Oryza sativa Japonica Group: one gene and its partner. The main gene of each other region encodes a partner of the protein of the gene in region 2 in a complex. Links are inferred from orthologs where the notes say so. Each region holds a gene or a part of one and is shown on either strand. Other genes may lie near its edges. The genes, in order: AUGMIN subunit 7 and AUGMIN subunit 4.

Region 1 (4,361 bases), on a different chromosome or scaffold from region 2:
AATTTAGAACCGTTTTCAGGGGGAAAAAAGGTACATTTGCTTAGCGAAACTTACTACTGTCTAAAGAATCAAAGGGGGAAAAAAAGAAAAAAGAAAAAACATACAAGTACTGCACAAACTTGGGGCCTGTTACGGCTGCACTACTGCGGCTGCGGCCGCCTCGCACATTATTTTGTACAGCGTTGCAGCCGCTGCAACGTGCAGCCGTACACAGCCTTGAAAGAGAGCTCTCGGCATGATATTTCAATATAAGCTAATGTTAAAGTTTTCATCTATGCAGTTACGAACTACAGACACAAGAACACAACGACAATTGGCACAACGGCAATACTACAAGCCACAAAAAGCAAATGATCGACTTGCTACAAGGTTATTCAAGTATCCTGATATCAGGCTACTGTGAATTCAGAGTCTCACCCTGCTCCCGTGCCACAGAAGTTGAAAGGATGGAAAGGCTGTTATTTAAGAATGTAAGTGCAGATTCACAGTCGGAGATAATTTTGGTGACAGATGAAGGCTCATTAGATGCTGAAAGCGATCCTGCAGCCATTGCTGCATACGAATCCCGTAGGCTCCTCAAATTACTAAGGAACTGCACATCACAAATAGGCACTCAAGTCAAGCAATGTTTATATGCTCAGTTTACCAGACAGAAGACAGTAGACACAAGCAAGAAGACCGCACAGAGCTAATCAGTTAAAAAGAATATGAAGTAAAAGAACTCTAGAATTTTTCATTAGTTTAAATGAGAGATGGGTCTATCAATGAACTATCAGATATTATACCATACCATATTAGCATCTTGGTTATTCTGAAATAATCTGATAGCAATACAAGACATACATTGACCACCGGCTAATCAGCTCCTTTTATATTTGTTTTCACCAATTCAAATAACCAGATCATGACACATTGACCATAGAGGGAAGCAAAACTTGAAATGAGCAACAAAATGTCAAATAAACCAAATATTCCGCTAGTACCTTCAAAAGTGTGTTATATGCCTCCAACAAGCGATTAGCAGCTGGACCAAAACCATGCAATTGAGGGACCTCCATCATATGTGTCCAAGGATGAATTTCCTACAATGAAAAGCAATTCTATCATCTAACAAGTAAAACTCAAAACACATAAAGATGGCAACCGTTAGCAGAAAAAGATATCATGTCAAAAATATTTATCTGAACGTACAGCAGAAGTATGGGAAATTGGGAAGAAAAAAGAAACCATTGCATAAGATATTCACCTTAGTGTAGATCATATTGAAGGATTTTACTGTTTCTAGGAACGATTGCAAATGTTCCCTCAGTTTTAACTCTGTCTCGGCATAGTCTTCATTCGGATTATAGTCATACTGAGCAACAGCAATTGTACCATCAGTGTAAATAGCATAGAACATGCTACAGACTATCAAGGTTTATGTGGCTGTTAAGCGCATACCTTAGATGCTAACTCCTGAACCATCAGTTGCAAATTTGACATCTTTTTAGTATACTCGGAGAGCTTCAACTCCAGTTCTGTTATATCAGGCCTGCAAAATGAGAATGACTCAAGATTTGAAGCATACACAGCTGATTTTCAACATCTTACTTTTCCTCTTTTTCTTCAACTGGGAGTACTTACAACCAACAAAATTATCAGATAAGAAGTACTTACAAGGGGTAAATTGATTGTATCTGAACATCTGCAGGAAATAGTTTGCACTCTTCAGAAAATATTTGGGCTTGTTTCTCTGCAATTGAATCTACGAGCAGCACATCTTTTGCCAGCTGCTCATCAACACTACCAAAAAGCAATTTGTTAGGAATTATGTCTCCAATGCACTCATGTTGATCCTAATGGATTATTTGATGTATATGAAAGTTCAGTTTTCTTCAGATATACTTTTATTTTCTTACATGTTTTCTTCAGATATACTTTTATTTTCTTACATTGCTAGAAGCCTAGAACAAAAGTTTCATGAAAAAATAGTACTGAATTATCACAAACTGACAATGTTTATGACTATGTCCTGTATGAATAACATGAAGGGTATTATTTCGTTGCAAATAGAAATAGTCAAGCTTAAAGCCAACCTCCACTCTGGATTGTCAGCATAGCAGCTAGCTTCAACTAGATCAACAATGAGACAGAGAAGCTCTACACGCTCATCGTAGCTACCTCTACCCTGCAATTCGAACAGTTATGAGCACACCAAAGACAATTTAACCCCAAATATATTACTGCCATTCTCACAATTCATAGATCCTGTATAACAGCAGCTAAAATTCAACAACTGTTACCGTATGACACAAACAAGCACACCCATTTCTCTCACCTGAATTGCCTCCGTGTCAACCGAAGGCGTTATACCAAGGAAATTCGCAATCTCGGCCAGGTCTGCACAGTCCCCAGCATTTCAATGTCAGCACCGCACTTTGATCCCAAGAACAACAGCAGTAGTGAAATGTTTGAAACTAAAAAACCTTACGTTGGATCCTGCTGTTCTCCTCGTCGCGGTCGAGGCTATCCCCCTGCCAGTTCTGCTGCGTGAACGGCGATCTGTCGCCTAGGAGCCTCCGCAACAAAGAGAAAACGAAACCCTCAATTTCGAGTTGGGACTGTGAGGGGGAAAAAGAACGCGGACCAAATCTACCCGCAACTGTGCAGCAAGCCTTGCAGATTGAGATGCGGAAATAGGGAATGTGGCGTGGGTGGCCGCGTACCGGAAGAAGAGCCACTCGAGGAGGCGGTAGCGCTCGACGCCGGCGAAGAGGAGGGACTGGGCGGGGGCGTTGGCCCGCGGGTAGGCCAGCACCGCCAGCTTCCGCTGGATCTCCTCCATCTGCTTCGACGCCATGGCGAGAGCCCTCCCACTCTTCCTCGCTTCCCCACCTCGCCGCGCCGCGCCGGCCGAGGCTGCCGCTGCTGGTGGTGGTGGTGGGGATCGAGCCGCTCGCTTCGACGGAGACAACCCAACGAGCGAGATGGTGTCAAGATTTGCAAATTCTCAAAATCGAATTTGTTTTTATATTTCCCTTACTGTCGTTTCAAATTCTGAAGGTGTCTGGAACTTACCTGTAGCATTTGTAAATTTACCACTGTTTTTTAAAATTTATGAGCTGTTCAGATGGTATGCACTTTCAACCCTTCTAAAATTTGTCATTGTCAAATTTTAACACATTTTGGCACTATCAAATCAAATTTTGGTAGTGTTGGTTGTGTTTAGTTTGTTAACTTATCAAAATTTGTAAAACAATTTTTTAGGAGTAGAAACTTATCGAATTACCAAAATTTGGTAGGGTAGCATTGATAAGTATTTCTTCCGTTTCATATTATAAGTCGTTTGATTTTTTTTATTCAAACTTGGTTAAGTTTGGCTAAGTCTAAAAAAAAAGTTTTAGTAACATTTAAAATATCAAATTAATTTCATTAAATCTAACATTAAATATATTTTGATAAATATGTTTGTTTTAGGTTGAAAATACTGATATATTTTTCTATAAACTTAGTAAAACTTAAAAGAAGTTTAATTAAAAAAGAGTCAAACGACTTATAATATGAAACGAAGAGAGTATGTGTTTGGTTTATAGTCTAACCAAAACTTGACTCTTTTGGTGTAGTTAAAAGTGGCAACATAATAAACAAACCCTATAACGATGTCACTCGAATGATAATTCTAGGGATATTTTTATAATTTTCTAGTAACAATCTCTCAACAAGGATTTAAACCATTAGCAAATGTACAAATGCCTTAATTTATATACTTTGGGCTGGGGCCCACATGTCAGTGATAAGGCCAGCAATAATAAAAGATGCCGGCATCAACCGCGTGGGCCGCGCGTCTCGCCGAGGGAGGGGAAGAGGGAACGGAGTCTATCGTGCGGTGCGGTTCTCCGCTCGCCACGACGACGACGAGCCCCATGCCTCCTCCGCCCCATCGCGGCGGCGGCGGCGGCCGCGACACGAGCGCGTTCTTCGCGGCGACGCTGGTGCTGTGGGCGGTGTCGGTGGGGTTCGAGATCGGCGCGCGCGGGCGGCGGGAGCTGGCGCCCGTGGCCGCAGGGTTTGCCTTCTTCCAGGCCGCCAGCGCCGCCGTGCGCGCCGCCGTCTCCCGCGACCCGCTCTTCGTCAACACCGCCGTTTCGCTCCTGCACTCCTCGCTCACGTCGGCCTCCGGTCTGGCCTCTCCCTCACCCCCCAAACCCCCCACTTTTGGTTCCGTGGCTTTCCCTATTCCCGTGCTTAGGATCCATCGGATACACGAAATCGTACGCTCTGTTCCAACATTACGCTAGTTTGAGGACATAGACGCGCGTGGAGGATTAAACAGTAGGTAAACTAGATGATGTTGATGCTTGATGCTTTGGTTCAGTACTAGG
Region 2 (4,426 bases):
TTAAATTGGTTGTCAATGATGCATCAAACATGGTACTCATTGATAATGATGAAGATGAGTCAAATTACCTTTACAATCTCATGGTATTGCCTTGCAATTACATCAAAGTGTGGATCTACACCTTGGTACTCGCGCAACCGTGAAACCTGGTGCAAGATAAAACGACACTCTAGAATGTAAAAACAAATTATGGGAAAGTCGACTCCTTTTCAGGTAAAAGAGGATACTGAAAGATGGCATACATTGTTTATAGAAATTCAGTTGAAATAGATAACTACAGAGCTCTAGTTACTAGATTTCCATTACAGAGTTAAGGACTAGATATTCAGTAAATGAGTAATAACCATTGCTATTAAGGATTTAATGACCAAATATTTTGAAGATTACAAGGGGAAAGTAAGATGGGTGTATCATACCGCTTCAGTATAAGAATTGGATGCTTCTTTCGTGGCCTCTACTAGATATTTCCTGCAAGAAACGGTAAATAAGTAAAAAATGCATTTTCCTGAAAAGAAAAGCACTCAACATATTGGATCTGTTTTGAGAAGATGTACCACTTAACTCAAGATATCATGTCAGTTTTTTTTAAATCAATTAAACTGGCTTTACCTGATCCTATGTAGTGCCGGTACTGTTTCCTTGGTATAGGTGTCACGCAAGAGATGATGCTCAAGATAGCTAGAACCATGTTAAGAAAGAAATAGTTAATTAACTCTGTTTTGTCCCATCGCTGACTAGCAAATAACTCAATTAGAAGACTAACTATGTTTAACAAAGTACAAATTAAGATCCGTTATTAGGTGATGTATGATGGACGTAGATGCAGGTACCAACCTTAATTTAGCATTCATTGTCCGGCACCTTTTAATAAGCCAAGTCTTCTTCAGATCATCCTATTAGCCCACAAAGACAAAGTAGGAGGATTAACTATATGAAACTGAAAACACTCCATGTTTTCAAAGAAGCAGCATCATAATAGGAATATGAGAAAGCTTACATATTGATGCTGATGTTCCAATTTCTTGTCTTTAACGAACTGTATAAGTACAGCAAGAATTTGCTCCAGGACCTTTTGAAATTTCAGGAGCCATCAGTAAGTGGATATAATCCAGAATTTCTACTAGAATAAAGTGAGCTAACTGGCTATGTGGAGTTTGAGCAATCACTTAATATCTACACACGTACATTATAGTGTTCGGCAAATTTTCTATCCATCGAAGCAAGATCGTCTAGTAGAAGGGCCTCTTCCTTTTCAATCTCTTCAATAATTAACTTCACCCTGCCAAAAGGGAAAATCATATTGTGAGTAATGCGTCTCATGAATTCCCTGTTATTAATATTTTAAGTCCAAACAAGTAAAGGTTGACAATTGGACATTGCCATCAAGAACTGAGAATGCACTGTGAGTGATCAGAGTAAATTATTACAGAAGCAAACAAGGAGATTTTTTTTCACTCAAAATGTTATGCTTGACCTAAGAGAGTTTTGGCATATCAAGCATTTCCGTATAAGTAAAACCATTGCAAGACAGGCAAAGATATGAAATTTCACCTTTCTGGAAGTCTGGCACTTGAAATCTGACTAATGGATGATGAATCTGCAGCACATTTGAAATGTTAAGCTAAAACAATAATATTGAATACAAGATGTGTACTGTTGTCTAAAACTAAGTTGCCCAAGTTGCATTGCATAAAATGGACAGGAACGCAGGGAGTGAAATTGGTAGTCATAGCAAGATTCAAAAACTGACCCCTTTCATCCATTGCAAACAGATCAGCTAAAGCATCACACTTGGCTTCTAAGCGGGCCTCAATCTCTCTTGCCAGAGTTCGTTGATAGTCAACCATGTCCTGCAACGGGAAATCAGAGGTACATGCTGTAAACGTTTAAACAGCCCGGTTTTGAAAAGAAACAATGTATGTCCTGATTGCTCTTCAGTAAATGGTAAACAAAGATAGGAAGCAGTGAAGCAGTAATTGTCTGATTCCCCAAGAAACATACGATAATATATCCAAAACTAAAATGAAACTTGAACCCACCAACAACTGGTTCACACGATAAATTTGGTTGCAAAAGATTATACATACCACGGTCATGGCTGGCTGCTCTTGCTGCACCTGGTAGAGATAATCCGATGTGATTCCAAGAAAACGATCAGGAACACCGCCAACACCAGGCTCAACTGGCTCCGAACCACCAGTACCAGGGGCCGCAGCAACAGTGGCTGCACTTGCGGTGCTGCTGTAGTTATTGTAACTAGTCGAGATTGAACTCGAGCTAGGTGCGGCACTTGTCATGGTGCTATCGAATGAGCTCCTAGACAAGGTGCTCAGCTTCTCTATCTCCTCCTCATGTACATCTCCATCCTGCGAGAGCAGTGGAAGCCTTAACCTCTGCGCAGCCTCTGCAACCGCCAAATGGTGCTCCAATGACTCGTACACCTACATCAGTCCATACAATGCTCCATTTTCAGTCAGATAATTTCTCAATTTAGCAGCAAAAGTTTCATCTGCAATCAACCAGTTGAATTCACATTTGCAGCTTTATGTCCACCATTCACTGAAAGACGCAAAAATTTAAAAATGCGGGAGAGAAGTGGAACCTGCGGGGAGCAGTTGAGCTTCTTCCCAGCGTTGGCGACGCCAGTGGAGATGGCGTGCTGATACTCCTCCACCATAGCAATGGCCTCCGCGTACACAGCCTAACCACATTACCCCCAGATCTGATCAGAACCCCAACGGGAAACCCTAAAATCCCAGATCCCACGAGAAGGGACGGGCGCACTCACCAGTGCCTCCAGGTATCGCGCGCGCTCCGACGCGACCTCCTCCCGCGCCTGCGGCGAAGGAAAGCACAGAGACAGCAGCGGGTGAGATCGCGGAGGTAGGACATCGAGTTCGCGGAGGTGAGATAGCGTACCTGGAGGAGGTCGGAGTGGGCGCAGCTGGAGAGGAGGGAGGCGTCGGGGGCGAGGTGGTGGCGCTGGAGCTGATCCACCAGGTGCGCCACCTCCGGCGGCGGCGGAGGGAGCGACGCGGCGGCGGCGGCCTTGGACATCGTCGTCGCCGGCGAATAAGAGGTTCGTTGGTGGTGGTTTGAATCGTGTCGGGGAATGTGGGGTTTCGTTTGTGTAGCCGGATTTGGGGGGGCTACCAGCCGTTGGATCGTGGGATGACGGATGAGATTACGGCTGATTCATTCGGCTATCAGAGACACGGAAACAAAAATGCCTCTATAATCTTCTGAAATTATGGATGTCCACTATAATCTCCTTCATCAAATTCGTCATCTCTCCGGTCTTTCATTTCATACGCTGTTTGTTATTTTTATTTGCCGAGGCCAAATTTTAAAATTTTTAAGAAAATTAGAATTGAGAGTTGATTTTTAGGGGTTTTTCATCGTGGTTCATTTTAAGTTGACTTAAAAAAAACCTGTGAACATTATTATTTTTATGCTTAGTTCTTTTTTCCATGGCTTATGAGCCGTAAATCAAACAATGTGTACTTCGATTTTAAAATGAGATGGTAAATCCTAGTACTATATTTTAGAAACAGATTTAATGGCTAGGTTTCGTTATGCTCGAGCATACCCTCAAATGTTTGCATAAAAATTTAAAATAGATGATATCTCTTTGTGATTGGTGTTGGAGAAGGATTATAGAAAAGAAGAACGGGTGTTTGCTCGTCCTGGAAGAAGAACATAAGCAACACAATGATATGATTAGAACTGAAACGGTATAAATTAAACAACTTACTCCCTCCGTCACAAATTACTTGTCTCTTTAAGATTTAAACTTTGTCTCAAAATGGTTATCATAATAAAATACTATTTGTTCCATCAATCGTTTCTAATTCAAATTTATCTTTTTTCTTGCCCCTAACCAACCTCCTACATCCAACCATACAATATTTAGTTAAGGGTATTATAGTTTTTTTTCTTAAATCTTAATCTATGCTTTAAAAAAAAGGTAAAATTGTGGCACATCAACGTGCATGAGCTTAATAATTTGATTAGATCAAAATACCAGCCCATATCCCCATACACATGTGGTCAGGTAGATGGACGACCTTCAAGTTTGTTGTTTTCATGTTCAGGCTTGCATGATACGATTACGATCTGCCATGATGTCTTTTTCTCGAGATTATGGTGTCGTAGTCGTCTTCAACTACAGTAACCAGACTTTTATGACAGAAAATGGTGCGCCAAAGCAGCCATACCATATGAGGAAAGGAAAAAAAAGATAGAAAATAAAACACAATATTGAATAACTTGCAAATATTGTATTGTATAACAAGATTTGTCCTTGGGGACCTTTTATTATGCGTATAATTAGCGTGTTTTTTTTCGAAAGTATTTTTATCCCGAAAAGAGAAGCACTAGAAACCAAATTTCAAAGGAATGCGACAAGATTTATGATGATAGCCTT

What was found.
Region 1: AUGMIN subunit 4 (region 2) and AUGMIN subunit 7 share a complex: the UniProt entries of both Arabidopsis thaliana proteins name them as parts of the augmin complex. The link is inferred for Oryza sativa Japonica Group from reciprocal best matches to the Arabidopsis thaliana genes AUG4 and AUG7.

Annotation. Positions count from the first base shown.
Region 1 is NC_089035.1:38,315,058-38,319,418, forward strand, and holds AUGMIN subunit 7, read right to left. Parts: upstream 2,982-4,361; 5' UTR 2,840-2,981; coding exon 2,706-2,839; intron 2,557-2,705; coding exon 2,471-2,556; intron 2,380-2,470; coding exon 2,318-2,379; intron 2,168-2,317; coding exon 2,076-2,167; intron 1,783-2,075; coding exon 1,657-1,782; intron 1,532-1,656; coding exon 1,441-1,531; intron 1,355-1,440; coding exon 1,247-1,354; intron 1,083-1,246; coding exon 984-1,082; intron 593-983; coding exon 395-592; 3' UTR 120-394; downstream 1-119. Other genes in the region: uncharacterized protein, read left to right, coding at 3,795-4,158. UniProt on the Arabidopsis thaliana protein: Contributes to the assembly of the acentrosomal spindle and phragmoplast microtubule arrays as part of the augmin complex. Regulates the association of gamma-tubulin with the spindle and phragmoplast microtubules.
Region 2 is NC_089036.1:1,015,640-1,020,065, forward strand, and holds the start of AUGMIN subunit 4, read right to left. Parts: upstream 3,103-4,426; 5' UTR 3,058-3,102; coding exon 2,920-3,057; intron 2,837-2,919; coding exon 2,789-2,836; intron 2,702-2,788; coding exon 2,603-2,701; intron 2,442-2,602; coding exon 2,088-2,441; intron 1,851-2,087; coding exon 1,751-1,850; intron 1,598-1,750; coding exon 1,552-1,597; intron 1,280-1,551; coding exon 1,186-1,279; intron 1,070-1,185; coding exon 998-1,069; intron 894-997; coding exon 835-893; intron 679-834; coding exon 610-678; intron 469-609; coding exon 417-468; intron 147-416; coding exon 69-146; intron 1-68. UniProt on the Arabidopsis thaliana protein: Involved in microtubules reorganization during spindle and phragmoplast development.